3 linked regions of the Xenopus tropicalis genome follow. The protein of the gene in region 1 purifies or fractionates together with the protein of each later gene. This does not show direct contact. Links are inferred from orthologs where the notes say so. Each region holds a gene or a part of one and is shown in the gene's direction. Other genes may lie near its edges.

What was found.
Region 2: the proteins of dnajc11 (region 1) and armc1 purify together in Homo sapiens (affinity purification with mass spectrometry; 4 studies listed by BioGRID and IntAct, counting the BioPlex papers as one, with this or other methods). This does not show direct contact. The link is inferred for Xenopus tropicalis from reciprocal best matches to the Homo sapiens genes DNAJC11 and ARMC1.
Region 3: the proteins of dnajc11 (region 1) and immt purify together in Homo sapiens (co-immunoprecipitation; 3 studies listed by BioGRID and IntAct, with this or other methods). This does not show direct contact. The link is inferred for Xenopus tropicalis from reciprocal best matches to the Homo sapiens genes DNAJC11 and IMMT.

The regions. Positions count from the first base shown.
Region 1 is NC_030683.2:99,798,759-99,804,058, reverse strand, and holds the start of dnajc11 (dnaJ homolog subfamily C member 11), read left to right. Parts: upstream 1-2,040; 5' UTR 2,041-2,056; coding exon 2,057-2,128; intron 2,129-5,300.
Region 2 is NC_030682.2:118,507,044-118,512,320, reverse strand, and holds the start of armc1 (armadillo repeat-containing protein 1), read left to right. Parts: upstream 1-1,963; 5' UTR 1,964-1,982; intron 1,983-2,006; exon of another isoform or gene 2,007-2,056; intron 2,057-3,364; exon of another isoform or gene 3,365-3,428; intron 3,429-5,277.
Region 3 is NC_030677.2:17,818,394-17,822,895, reverse strand, and holds part of immt (MICOS complex subunit MIC60), read left to right. Parts: intron 1-2,126; coding exon 2,127-2,200; intron 2,201-2,641; coding exon 2,642-2,834; intron 2,835-2,979; coding exon 2,980-3,112; intron 3,113-3,294; coding exon 3,295-3,417; intron 3,418-3,538; coding exon 3,539-3,655; intron 3,656-4,286; coding exon 4,287-4,423; intron 4,424-4,502. UniProt on the Homo sapiens protein: Component of the MICOS complex, a large protein complex of the mitochondrial inner membrane that plays crucial roles in the maintenance of crista junctions, inner membrane architecture, and formation of contact sites to the outer membrane.

The DNA.
Region 1 (5,300 bases):
AAACTGGAAAATGAGGTTCAATGTTGATAAGTGCAAAGTTATGCACTTTGGTAGAAATAATATAAACGCAAACTATCTACTGAATGGTAGTGTGTTGGGGGTTTCCTTAATGGAGAAGGATCTAGGGGTTTTTGTTGATAACAAGTTGTCTAATGCCAGGCAGTGTCATTCTGTGGCTACTAAAGCAAATAAAGTGCTGTCTTGTATAAAAAAGGGCATTGACTCAAGGGATGAGAACATAATTTTGCCCCTTTATAGGTCCCTGGTAAGGCCTCATCTTGAGTATGCAGTGCAGTTTTGGGCTCCAGTCCTTAAGAAGGATATTAATGAGCTGGAGAAAGTGCAGAGACGTGCAACTAAACTGGTAAAGGGGATGGAAGATTTAAACTATGAGGTGAGACTGTCAAGGTTGGGGTTGTTTTCTCTGGAAAAGAGGCGCTTGCGAGGGGACATGATTACTCTGTACAAGTACATTAGAGGGGATTATAGGCAGTTGGGGGATGTTCTTTTTTCCCATAAAAACAATCAGCGCACCAGAGGTCACCCCTTTAGATTAGAGGAAAGGAGCTTCCATTTGAAGCAGCGTAGGTGGTTTTTCACGGTGAGGGCAGTGAGGTTATGGAATGCCCTTCCTAGTGATGTGGTAATGGCAGATTCTGTTAATGCCTTTAAGAGGGGCCTGGATGAGTTCTTGATCAATCAGAATATCCAAGGCTATTGTGATACTAATATCTACAGTTAGTACTAGTGGTTGTATATATAGTGTATGTATGTGAGTGTATAGATTGGTAGGTGTGGGTTAAGTGTGCTGGGTTTACTTGGATGGGTTGAACTTGATGGAAACTGGTCTTTTTTCAACCCTATGTAACTATGTAACCAAGCCAACAGCATGGATAGTGTAGGTTTAGAGTATGGGGTACACGCGACTCAATCCTTCAGGATGGGCCTTCGCTAAGTGAGCTATGGTGTAGTGAAACTACAACCCATTATAACTGTGTGCAGTGCAAAGTAACAAATGGGCGCCAGAAGGTTCTTGCAGTTGAACAATAGAATTGGTTTATTGGCAGAGACAATCAAAATGCAGGGTTATTGCAATACTCACATATAGCTTCTATAATATAGTAATACTCTTAGGACAGCGCAGAGAGGGTGCACCTGGTCAGTTTGGCCACCCTTTGGAACAGTCAGATTGGATACCACACTCCTCAGGTTGACTACCTCTAGCCTTCAGGGTCCCACAGTAACTATGGATCAGGATTCAGATACTGCCTGCCTCCCTTCTAAGTCTTAACCGTGGCCCTATGCTAAGGCAACATTGCCTGTATGGAAGAATACTTCCAACTACTTTCTTTGGTGGAGCCAAAACTGCTCTTGCTTCCTTCCCTCTCTATCTCACTTTACTAGAAAGTGCTCGGCAAGAGTAACTATCTAGCTGGTCCTCATTCACATGGTTCCTGTCCCTGACCTCTCTAGAGTAGATGCAGACTCTAGGGTAAAATGCTTTACTGGGGCCCTGTTGATCCCAGGCTCAGTGGAACTTCCACCTCGGTCAGTAGATGCAGCCAAAGAGGAAGACCCACCCCTTTGCCAAACTATATTGGCGTGCAAAGGGTGGAGTCAACCTATAAACCAATAAGGTATCTCTAAACTGATACATGGGCCTTTGCCCAGTAACAGCACAGACTAAAGAAGTGGTAAGGTTTAAAGCCTTAGGTGCAGTTTAACCCTATAGATCCCTACAGTAGCAACACTACAACCCATCTCTTGTTCACTTAAATGCATACAGCCTGTCTACTTAGACTCCAGCACAGTATGCAGCTAAAGAGCATTTCTGCAATTTGCCAGCTAGCAAAGCAGCACCTTAATTATGGGCGTATAACATCATCATTGGTATAGCTAGTATTAGCTTGTTTGTGTCACTTGGTAGTTTTCAACAGCCGATGCTGCAATGTCCCCTCCGTTCTGCAGGTGTCGCTGTTCCCCCGGCTCTCCCTTCAGCCGGAGGTTGACCCTACCTTGTCTGAAGACTCGACGGTCAAGGTGAAAGGTTCTGAAGATGGCGGCGTCCTTTATGGAAGATGAAGTGGATAACGATGACTATTATTCACTTCTTAACGTCAGGAGGGAGGTGAGATTTGGGGGTGTCATGCCGCTCCCGTAGCGGTACTCCTGTGCCAGAGTATGTGGCTGGAAGGGCAGGGCTCCGGGGACTTCTCAGGGCTCTCACAAGCCGGCATTGCATTGTGACCCCCGGCATGTTTCTCTTACCCGCCTCCCTGACCCCATGCTTGGAGCTGCATGCAGCGTGAATGGCAAACTTCTACTCCATGATTTAGCTTGTGGTTGTCAGTCTATTGCTGAATTACCTTTCTGCCCGTACTTGCACAGTGAAAGCTTACGAGGGGATTCTGGGAGTTGTAGTTTAACCGCAGCTAGATAACGTAGGGGTAGGGCACTTTGTAAGTGTGGCGAGATGGCATTTATCTTTCCCGTCTGTCATTTTCTAAATGAAACACTTGCAACACTTCATAAAACTTTTTTTTTTTTTAATAACACTTGTGAATGTAGGTTTTACTTTCACTTTCCTTAATGAATTATGTTAAGCACAGGGGTTTGAATGTCCTGCCGCCTTGTTTATATACATATTTGAAAAATAAAAGGAGTGGGATCCTATATCCTGCTTGGATCTGTGTGAAAGTTGGATATAGCATTTATATATTCCAGTGAAACTGCACCCCCAGCAGCCAGTTTATGAGAAATTTATAGTTTTTTTTTTTTTTATTCAACAAGAAAATTCATTATTTTGTTGTCACCTAAAGGTTTGAACCAGTTCTATCACTACAGGATGTTTGCATGTGTTTGGGCAGTGGTGTTACTAGAGGTTACTGGGCCCTACATGATAATTAACTTTAGGGCCACCTTAGGTTTCGGAATAGATGATTTCAAATACTGAAACTGTGCCCAGTGCCCCATGGTGTTCCCTATACCTCTTAGGCACCCAGAAGGTGCAATGGTCCCAGCCCCACATCAAAATTAACTTTAGGGCCACCTTAGGTTTCGGAATAGATGTTTTCAAATACTGAAACTGTGCCCAGGGCCGTAAGGTGTTCCCTATAACTCTTAGGCACCAGAAGGTGCAATGGTCCCTTCCTTTATAGTTACACCCTTGTATTTGCAGGTTCCTAGTTAAGCTGGGTTAAAAAAAATCAAGTTCAACCCCTCTAAGTGAACCCCAGCACACACATAAACCTGTCCTGACCTATCTGCTACTAGAAGTATTGGTGATTAGATCAGGTTTGAACTGGGCTTCTAAATAGGCCCTGCATTACACAGATGCCCAATAAGCCCCCACCAGCCCAATCAATACTGTCTATGGCATTTTACAGCAGCCCCTCTGGCATTTGCCAGAATCCACAGATTGCCAGTCCAGGCCTTGATTAGAATGTAACTATGAAGGAAGCAGATCGTACCACTGCTGGAGGGATCCAGTAGTAGGGGTAAAAGTAGGGCAGTTTAATAAAAAAGTATCTTATTCCCAAATTTTGGGGGGGGGGATCCTAAAAAAAAATTTTGTGGTGGTCTTGTAGTTAAGCTGTTGATGCCCTTTGTTGCTTTGATATTAATAGCTGACACTTAGAGAGAAGGTATTTTCCTGGGATGGTTGTTTACTTTTCAGAATGCAAGGTAATGTTTCACAAGGATGGTTATCACTTGCCATTTCATTTTTGGTTTGTTTTATATTTAAGTTTATATTATGTAAAACAACCTGCCATTGTACAAAACTGCATCACCGAACCTGTGTGTTGTGTTGGCTATGGCAGGCTATGCCACTGGTAAAATGCTGAAGTCAAGCTCGCTTTTAGGTACTGACTATAGCATTGTGTTTTGGATGGGGGATCCAAAATGTGTCATCCCAGTGGGTTGTGGACTATCCTTTAATACAAAACATGGCAATAATCTCCACTGGTTTATTCTGAAAATTATTGTTCAAAGTGTCCAGTTTAATGTGACAGGAGCCAGAATCTTTGTGGTCTTTTCAGTTAAAATAAGAAAATCTTTGCTGATGGTGATCTACATGTGTTTCCAAATCCACATAAACTGTTCCCATTCATGCTGCTGGATGAACACAAGAATAGCAAGTAAACTTGCCCATAAGCCACATTTATTCTCTGGGTCAGAGGGCAACACATTTTATGGCACTGAGAAACTTGTAAGGGTCTATAAAAGAAATTATTTTATCAAATGTGCATAATAGTGAATATCAACCAAAAACTGATGTTTTGGTAGAACACTGAATACCAATATCTTGTGAGTTGAGTGAGAGACAGCAAGAGTGTTAGTACATGATATCACTGACATTTTCTAAATCCGCTAGGATCGCTATATCTCAACTTTAAAAGCGGACATCTAAATTCCATGATTCAATATTGGGTCTGATGCCATATTTTAGAAAGGTATAAGTTCCATAACCTCCACCAGTCACTACAGCAGAGCCTAATAAGTCTCCTGCAGACTTTGTTGTGATTCAGATCTGACCAGCCTGGGTGCTATCAGTTGGTTTAACTAGTGAGGTAAAGCATACTCACCAGTACACTTCTATGGGGCATACTCCCATGCCCATGACATCTACAAGTGTCAGAAGGAGTTCAGACAGATTGAATTGTTTAAACCATGTTGAAATTAAAATATATACTAATCCATATTCATAATTATATACTGCTGCTAGGCTACAATGAGCATTACAATGCATTAATAATGCAAGGGGATACAAACTAATAATGGTGCAAATTAAGTAAATATCTAAGAGTGCACACAAATAACAGTTTTAGCATCCACTGAAAGATACAAGAACATGAAGGGCACGGCCCCCAAAACTTGTCTGATATATTTGAACACTGAAAGGTCCATTTTTCTTTAAAATTGGATGGCTCCAAGCTGCAACAATATCTCTCTTTAGATAAATAGAGCAACATCTGGTTTTCGTGCAGCTAGAACTGGACAGCTGGAGACAAGTCAGCAGTGTGCATTAAGCCCTGTAGCTATGAAGGCCTGTGCCAATGAAGTTCCTTCTGGTAGCATATACCAGATGTGAACATATATTCACAATACAAGGCTGATTTCATGTGCCATTCATATTTTCATATTGCCATTGCGTGGTAGCACATAAACCAGTGAATTCTGTGTCTCACTTTCTGCTAATGTTTTGATGATTTCAGATGACCCCTTAAGCTTAACTTCTCAACAGCAGCCCAGAGCACTCTGAGCATGTGCAGTGCCACTCATGCAAAAGAAGGGCTATA
Region 2 (5,277 bases), on another chromosome or scaffold:
TGGTTCAGGTATGGGGGGCACAGTGGTGCCACTTCATCAGGGCCCACCACAACCCTATGGGGCTCGATGGCACTAGCAACAACAGCAACAGTCAGTAGGAGCCACTATATCTGGAGGGAGAGTAAACTGCTAATTTTGATTAAAGTGATACTGACACGAAAAAAATACTTTTTAAAATATGAATGTACATAAAAAGTTCCCTATAGGTCATGTTGATCATTTTTCATTGATAGGGCTGCTTTTGTAAGTAATTGTTACTTGAGGTTCCTAAACCTGACTGTCCCTTCTCAGCCTGTCAGTTATAGCTTCTAATGTTAACGGACCACTGCTGCACAAATTTGGCAGCCCCCTCATAGGGGGACATGGGGATCAGATAGGTTATATAAAAGCATCAGAAAGTATGTTTACAGCAAAATTATAAAGATCATTCAAAGACAATGTTATGATATATTTAAAGACAGCTTTATTTCAGACGTCAGTATCTCTTTAATGATCCAGGCCTTCAAATTTGCCCATAGCAGATTCGAAACTCAGGTCTTATAGTGAATTACATTGTGAATATTATACTGTATTTACAGAGAATATTGCAAGTTTGCCCTTAATCTAAGGTAACAGACAGCAGCCCAGGGCATCTGAAGTAAGTCAGCTAATTTTAAGATGGGGAGCTACTGGGGGCATATTTGTAGGCACAGATGTTCCCTGCTAATGGGCTATAGTTGCCTTGGCCTAGAACATTAGCCCAAAACAAAGCATAACATGCCCAACCTAATATATTGTTAAACTTCGGTACTACAGAATCCTCCATAGGAGAGTCCATTGTATTTCCTCTAAGCCTGATGTAGAACTACAACTCCCTAAATGAAAGGAAAGCTAAACACAGGGGCACAGGAAGCTGTAAAGGCCATTAGGAGATGGGCCACTACTAAAATTCTGATCCCATGGTGTAACGTGGAACATGGGCTTATAAATACCAGCAATGGATCACTGTCTCCCTTATATAACAAAGGTTTTCTATAGGACATTAAAATCTTAACTCGATTCACGCTTTTTTTTCAACCCAAGTTACTATGGAGTTAGAGGCAACTGAACATGAAGGTCGGCAGCCCAGTGACATTTATAAGCCACATAGGCAAGACCTCCGCAGTGGTTTGGTATATTCCTTAGGGACGCTCTGGACACTGCTATTCACACTACTCGTACCTGGAGAAACAGTCTGTCCTAAAGCTCCAGCCGTGTATCTTCTTCCCCGGAATCCAATCCTTTCCCACGACAACTCCGACACAATCAGTATTCCAAGAACAAAATCGCGCAACTCCGGGTCACGTGTGTGTATCCCAGTGCCGGTGACAGTTTGCGCCGCTCACCTAGCAAAGTCAACGTCAGCTCCAGCCATTGGCTGCATTGTTGGGCGTGCGCGTTATCGCCAAGCTCCAGCTATTGGCTGCATTGTTGGGCGTGCGCGCTACCGCCAAGCGAGGACCTTGGGCGTGACGTAAACGTGGCTCAGCGGCCATTTTGGAACTGGGCAACCTGATTGAAAACACACAGTGAGGCTTTACGTCTCATGCAACTATGTTTGGAAAGTGCCTTGGTTGTCTTTACTCTGTGGGTGAATAAAGCATAATTAATCAGATTATCAAAAGTGATGAACAGCTAAATCGAAATTGGCGCTCTCTAACTTTAAGGCATAGCAAGGCAATATATAGCTATATAATGAACCGTGTATATTGAGAGCCAAAGCGCGGCATTGCTATATAACTGGGCTCTATACACATTATAATACCGCGCATTACCCACATCAAGCGTGGCGCAGCGTGAAGACGCACAGCGTCGATTGGCTGACCAATAACAAAGTGGCTAAACAACAGCGTGCGTGATAGGTTGGAGGGCGGCTGGTTTGGAGTTAGCCAATGAGTTAGTGGGGAGGCTGGAGGTGGTGCCGGGGACGCAGTAGGTGAGGGGAGGACTGCGAGCTTTTCTAGGTATGTGTTCCTATTGTGCTGCCTTTGGCTTATCCGGGGACCTGTGGTCCCTCTGTGCGCCCATCGGGCCTTAGGTAATTAGGTTTTTTTGTCAGGGGTAAGAGGCTTGCTGTATGACTATACCTCCCAGCTATAGCAAAGGCTGTAAGGAGGTGCTGGGAGTTAAAGTCTGACAACAGCACCAAGCTGAACTGCCAGGAATGCGCCTTTCTCTCTATGGGGATAAGGCCGGGGAAAGCTTTTGCTTATGGAATTTTAATCTACATGGGCTCAGTGTTGAATTGTCTGCCACGTCAGGCATTGTTACCACTTGGTTCCATTAGAAAACGGATTTAGTTAGACCTTTATGTAGCAGTGGTGAGGGCTTTCTTAACCTTGGGGGCTATGCCTGGGATATCTTTGGGTCTGGGCACAGTCAGTTTGGGAATGGATTACATGTCTGGCTTTTAAGATGGCCTTACATGTAAGAATTGTAATCTTTCCTGCATTGAGCAGCCATGGCAAAGGTGCAGTAGACAGGAAGGGTAGCATTAATACACATCTCACATGTGACAGTAGAAACTAAAGGGTACTTGTATATAGCCAGAATGGGCTCAACCACTCAACATATATGTACAAAGTTCCATATGATATTACTGTGTGAGCCATGTAAACTTGAGTAACTAAAGGCTAAACATTTAGCAGGTGAATGAAGTATAGTTTCCCAAACAAACACAAAGCATATGCTTCAAACAAGTGTATTGTATAAATATAACTTGTATTCTGACCAAAAAGGTGTATTTGTCTTGCTTGAATGCCAATAGGTTTGCCAAGACATTAGTCTAACAGTCTTTAAAAACAGCAGCTAGTGGCAAATGATGCCACTGCATAAAGATGTTGTATAAGCTGTCCATATGCCAGACAAGCAGATATTTTCTGATTTGACCGTCATACTGGGGGTCCAGAAGTATCTGTTGCATAGGTTCCATACAGTAAGCTGCCAACGCATTGGGAGGGCTGATTATCAGCCTGTTTATGGCGAGCTACAGAGACAGTCTGATCCAAAACACTAGCAAATAAAAGGAGTCATTAATAATTAGAGGAATGGTTTCTTTGTTGTTTGTGTTTACAACTAAGGTTTTCAGGTGGCCATGCACTGGCCAGTCCTGTAGAGCAGTACTATGTGATTGGAGGCCTGTGTGCCAGATGTAACTTTTATTTTCTTACCTGCCCATGAAAAATAAAGAAGTATTAAATGTATGCAGATTATATGGAATCAGATGATTATTACTGCGCTACAGTACTTCTGTTCAGTTGGCAGGAGGTGATGAGTAGCTGCAGTACTGGGCAGCATGCATTAACACGTGATATTTTCAAACATGACATATCATTTACCATTGCAGAGGATTGCAGGGTGGTTTGGCAAACCACTGCCCACAGCCCACAAGAGTAAAGGAACAGTTGTTGGTAGGTAGCAAATTTTTGACAAACAGAAGAAATAATACATGGGTAGCATCTTCAAACAATAATTCTTTGGTATACTATTTTAAAAAAAGTATGTTTTGTGATGGTGAACTGCACGTTAAAAGTAAATAGATCACAGCTTCCTGCTGTTGGTATGTGGGCCAGATATGGTCCTACGGGGCTTTCTTTATGGCCCCCCAGTATGCAGAAGTACTCCATATATTTATTTGTATAATATAATCTGGTCCTTGAACAAAGTTGGACTGGTAAAGGTAAACTGTAGCATTTTAGACAACATCGTGTGACTCAATTTTTTTTACTCCGCTTAGGCTAAGGGCACCCTATGCAGATCCGCATAGTGTCCCTTAGCCTGCATGGGAGTGTTCACCACTAGCTACAAAAATGCTTTTGTTATTTTCTGTGTACTGTATTAATTCAAGTCTTATTGCACATGAAACTGTATAATCCATTAAAAAGCAACATTACACTTCTAGTAACCTTTCCAGTTATTGGCATATGTCATGCTAGGTGACTTGCCATTACCAATTAAACTTACAAGGAGTCTGTGACAGATTGTCCTAGTGAGCCACATTCACTCATGTATGATGCTGGCTTTATCCTCCTACTGTGTCATGTTAACACAGCAAGTATTTTGTTGCTTAGTGAGTGCCAGTTTGTTATTATTGCCAGCATCCTGGCATTTTCTGTATACCTACCTACTGCTGTGAAACAGCACATCTTATTATAAAAGCAACTGCTCATTGCTGGCTTTACATTCCTGTGACTTTAGCCTTCCTCTGAAAATACAATTGCCAAGGTCAGTTGCACAGCTCAAAGACAAGTGGTGAGCAGAAAAATGATTAGCATAGCAAAATCAAAGGGCCTATTTAAATACATAATTTTAGAAAACCTGTTACATTTGATTAATGGGTTAATTCCCTTAAAATAAACTTTAATTGTGCTATGGACAATGATAGTGAAAAACAACAATTTTTGCAGCTTTCCATTTTGGAATTACAATGGTTGTCTAGTTGCTAGGGGTTCAGCTTGACTTAGCAACCTGGCAGCAGTTTATTATTAACAATTATTTATAAAGCGCCAACATATTCCACAGCGCTGTACAATAAGTATAGAATTCTGAGTGGAAGCTGAATTGGCAGGGCTACTTTAGACCGATAATCTATACAATGTACCAGTAACTATAAAAATCTAGCCTGTGTTCTGAAAAGAGGCAGATATAGGATAGCAATTCCAGAACAATAAAATCAAGGTTACGGTAATTAAAAGCAGCTAAGGATAGGCGAAGTTCATTCAAAGTTAAATTTACCTATAAAATACAGAATACCTGTTATATACCTTTAGCTAGATGTGTATAAATGAGTGCTTCTTTTGGTGGTTTTGTAATGTAGAAATGGACTTTCCCCCATTGTTATAGGCATGCAGTTTATAGGGTTGAGTTTTTGTGGCACAGGGCTACTATACAGCTGGTTCTTGCTCCCTCAGCAGTGAGAATAGCTGTTTCACTAGGTACTGTGCAAAGGTGCATTATGCTGCACTGTAAACTCTGAAACTATAGAGCCTTGAAATTAATTTATTTCAATATGCACATAGATGCAGCACTCATGACTAAGTGGGTCACTGGGCATGGGGCAGTTTGCATTTCGATAATAATCCAGCAGTAATGAGTAATAAGAATAAAAGAAGTATGATTTCTTCACAGGACTTATATAACATCAATAGGACCAACATTTCTGCTGGAGGACTACTTTAACTTGAGAAAGGCTTGCAAAAAAGCTCTCTTGATGTTTCTAAGTCTAGTAAAGTTGTGTTTTACTCAGTAGCAGTTCTATCA
Region 3 (4,502 bases), on another chromosome or scaffold:
CAGTCACTATTTATTGGGCTGGGGGGCTGTTTGTGCCTCTGGGTACTGGGAATGCCAGAGGGGCTGCTGTAAGATGCCACAGACAGTCACTATTTATTGGGCTGGGGGGGCTGTTTGGGCCTCTGTGTACTGGGAATGCCAGAGGGGCTGCTGTAAGATGCCACAGACAGTCACTATTTATTGGGCTGCCGGGGGGCTGTTTGGGCCTCTGGGTACTTGTAATGCCAGGGACTATTTTGTATCCTAGTCCGGGCCTGTATCCCTGTGTGTCCTGTGAGCTGCAGCCTGTGTGAGGGGACAGATTATCATCCACTTTGGGAAATTGTGGTGCCGTGTGTGTTGCCAGTTTTTCCTAATTGCTGTGTGTGTGCCTTTATTTGTGCCAGTAATGCAGGGGGGCATCAGCTAGTTTGCAAATGGGTTGCATGTGTGGTTGCGTCAGTACAGCCGGCATGAAGGCTTCTCACTTACCCATGGGCCCTGTACCCTGGGCGCTGTTCCTCAGAGCAGGCTGAACTGCTGCAAAGTACAAGGTGTCGGTGTAAATAAGATTTAAGCACACAGAATTGCATGTGTATATGAGCCTTAATATGTACTATACATTTGTTTCACTAGTTGTACAGGTGCAACGTGGAGCTGTTTGGGTGAGGGGGCTGTTTGCTTTCTGCCCTGATCTGGTGGCTGCACACTTCCTTGTGCTGTATATATGGGGTACCCTTCACAGGGGTTTGTCCGGTTGCCATTGATCATTGGTTGTGTATAAAGGAAATATTTCCATTCATGTTCTACTTATCTTATGTGCAGTGTAACATTCTGCAGTATACTAATAGTATCTAATGATAATGATTTACAGACCGCAAACACACACTCTAAAGGTCCCCATACACGGGCCGATAGTAGCTGCCGATATGGGTCCCTTAGACCGATTCGGTAGCTAATCAGCCCATGTATGGGCGCTACCGACGGGCCTGCCCGACCGATATCTGGCCCGAAATCGGCCGGATCTCGATTGGGCGGGTTAGAAAATCTAGTCAGATCGGGGACTGCATCGGCTCGTTGATGTGGTCCCCAGACCGACTTTGCCTATACCTGTCATTATAATTCGATCATTTGGTCCCAGGGCCAAACAATCGAATTACCCTGGATTCTCCCAATATCACCCACCCGTAGGTGGGGATATCGGGAGAAGATATGTTGCCAAGCGAGCGGATCTTATGGTGTATGGGGACCTTTACTTGCAAATAAAAACTCTTGTGAGTTTATTTATTTACTAACTTTTGCTCCGGGTCTAGTAACTCATGGCAACCAATGATATGATTGCTTTCATGATTCTGACTGCTCTAGACCAGTACAAACTGCTACCCAATGCCCTGTGGGGAAATGCCTAATATGCAGTTGGTTACAAGGACATTCTAAGCACAATATTCCCTAAATTGGGGTTCAGGTAATAACCTTAGGGAAAGAATGGGGTAAAGCAAGAACATGTTATGTAGCTATTTTAAAGACTTTACTGAACTGTAGAGCTGTTCTGTTGTTGGAACTGAGGGGTTAATCATATTTTGTGCCGGCTGGTGTCTCTGCTGGATTTTCCTTTGTAACCTTGGTAACCCATGAATTGGCACCCTGTTAGTGGAACGTATTCCTGCCAGGCATCCTGCTGCAGCACCCTCTGCTCTTGCGGTTGGTCTCGGCCGGGCTGGGCAGGCGCCTTTGAGCCTCCGTGGAACCAGTGAGTCATTAGGAAACCAGGAAATGTATCTGGCTTGTCTGCAGCATCACTTGGCATCATTTACTTGCCGGGGCCTATGAGCAGTACTGATCTCCCATACTGACTGCACTGGTTAATAGGAAATATAATGTCCTGGAATTTCCATTTCAAAGGAAGTGCTAACAGTTACACACAGCCTCTATAATGTATTGGCTTTGATACCAGTGCTCCCAGTGCACCCAGATGTCACTTCCCTGCAAGTTAAACCTATAGTGATTATGCCACCGGGGGGGCTACTGTAAGATGCCATAGACCTGCCCTTTCTATTAGGCCTGAGGGAGGGATGTATGTGCCTCTGTGTATTTGGACTCTCAGGCTGTGCATAATCAATACATTTTCCTTGTTTGTTCTCTATTAGGAATGCCTGTGTAGCAGAGTATCCCTCCGTCCCTTGCGTGCAGCCAGATCCTACTCTACTGCTGAATCATCTGGGTATGTGTGGCTTTTTCTTGCAGCTTGTTTAACTGTTATACCCCAGTTTTTCTTTTAAAACCTCTAGTGGAATGGGAAATAATATACAGTTACACTTTTAGTCAGTGGTTATAGGCCTGCCCATGTAGCGTGCCCAATTTAGCCTCTGATATGTATAAGCAATCTATAGGCCTGTATAAGGCTTTATGGACAGGAGCCTTACTAATGTGCCTATTACTGCCCCATAAGGAAGGGTAGCAAAGCTGCACCGTGTGTTAGTAAATGGGCCCATGTTTGTATATTTTGGCATCAGATGACTTTGCTTTAGGGCACGTGTATTACTGCAGGGTGAATCATGTACATCCATTATCCATGATGGTTCCATTTGTAGCTAATCCTTTATTTACTAAGTCTCAGTAGGCATGCAGTCTGACCAATTTACTACTTTGTTTCTTTTTTCAGTCCCTCTGCTGCAAAGATCATTGGTGCCGGCATCTTGCTCACAGGCGGAGGCATCGGGGGCACTGTCCTGTACGCCAGCTGGGACCCACGATTTCGAGAGAATGTTGAGAAGACTATTCCCTACTCCGACAAGCTGTTTGACTTGGCTCTCGGGCCTCCTGCTCCAGCCAGTCTGCCTGTGCCAAAGAAACCAGTAAGACATATATCCTGCCTCTTATATTAATAATAATAATAAGGCAAATTAGTTTTGCATTTGCCGATTAGAGGCAAATTCACTGTACTCCAGTAGTCCTTCCAAATTCCTTTGCACAAAATAAATGCATTATACTTTTTTTCAGCTAAAATCGGGCCCACTTCAGATTTCCTCTGTGTCTGAAGTGATGAAGGAATCCAAGATGCCTAAGAAAGAGAAGGTCGAGGCTCGTCTACCAACTCCTCCTCCCCCACCTACGGAAAATGTGGATTTGGAAGGTAACGGTGCATATGGTGGAATGGGGGAGCATGGGAGAAACTGCTTTTGCATGTCAGCAAGGGGGGAAATCTATTGTGGGAGATGGGCAGACTAGGGTGAATAGTGGGACACTTGGCATTGGGTAAACCTTCATGTATGGTAAAACCTACCCACATTAATGTGTACATATCTGTTTGTGCAGCATCATCGCATGTAGCCCAAATAATCTCAGCAACTGGGGAAGCTCTGTCTGTTCCGGCTTCAGTCGTTCACGAGGAGGAGTCTTCCAAAGCCTCAGAGCCAGTGGAGCCAGCAGTCACTGCAGGTAGTAACGTTTCAACATAGCGGAAGTTACGGTTTCCAGGGTGGCGACCCAAGCTTCGAGTCTAATGCTATGGTACTTAAAGGCATTCATTTTAAATTAGATATCTTCTAACTTTTTAAAGAGGAGCACTGCAAGGAGTGTGAGCACGAGGCTACGCACAAGTTGAAAGAACGGCCTCCTGAAGAGGTGGCGGCTCGCCTTGTTCAGCAAGATAAGGAAGAACAAGAAAGGATTAAATGTAAGTGTGTGAGTGCTCGTTTGCTGCTATTGGCAGGCACCATTTTACCATGTATTCCCCTCTCTAGCTGTTCTGAATAACCATAAGTAGAAGAAATACAAATCCCCTTCCCAGTTAAACCCCCTGTAACTCCTATATTGGATTCCTTAACTGACTGCCTACGTTGGAATATGCTTATCTTTAGATTCCACTTTCTTATTTGGCCCTAATTAAATACAGAAGTAAGGATGCTGACAATCTAATATACCACAGTACATCACTTTCAGGGGAGACCATCTGACCAATCATTTTCATTCTATAAAGCACAGAGAATGAGCTCTCCATGACTGTATTCCTTATTAACCCATGAGTGGGACAGTGCTGTAGTGTAGCGTGGCCTCACATAAACCATGGGGGGGATTTAAACCAATCTTGTGTGTGTTTCTATATTACCCAAAACCCCTGCGGCAAATATCCATTGCTTCCTCTCCCTTCTTGCCTAGTGACCTGACTGATATTGTCCATCCCCACTGCACTTGCACATTTACGTATCATCAATAAATTGGGCTAGCATAACCTTATATCTGCAATTTCTGTAATGTATCTGCCCCAAAAGGGCCACGGAAATAATGTATGTGCTGTTACTTTTTAGCTATAGCTGCAGCGTTAGAGGATGCGCTGAGCAACACTGCCCGAGTTACACTGCAGGCTATCGGCACCCAGGAGTCAGCAGTGCAGGCTGTCGATTTCCATGCACAGAAGCTCAGAGAAGCCATGGATGAGACCCAGGTAAATACCCTTGACCCCCCTCCCCACACACAACTGAATAGTGACAATCATAATGCCGTGACTGGGTGTGGAAACCATT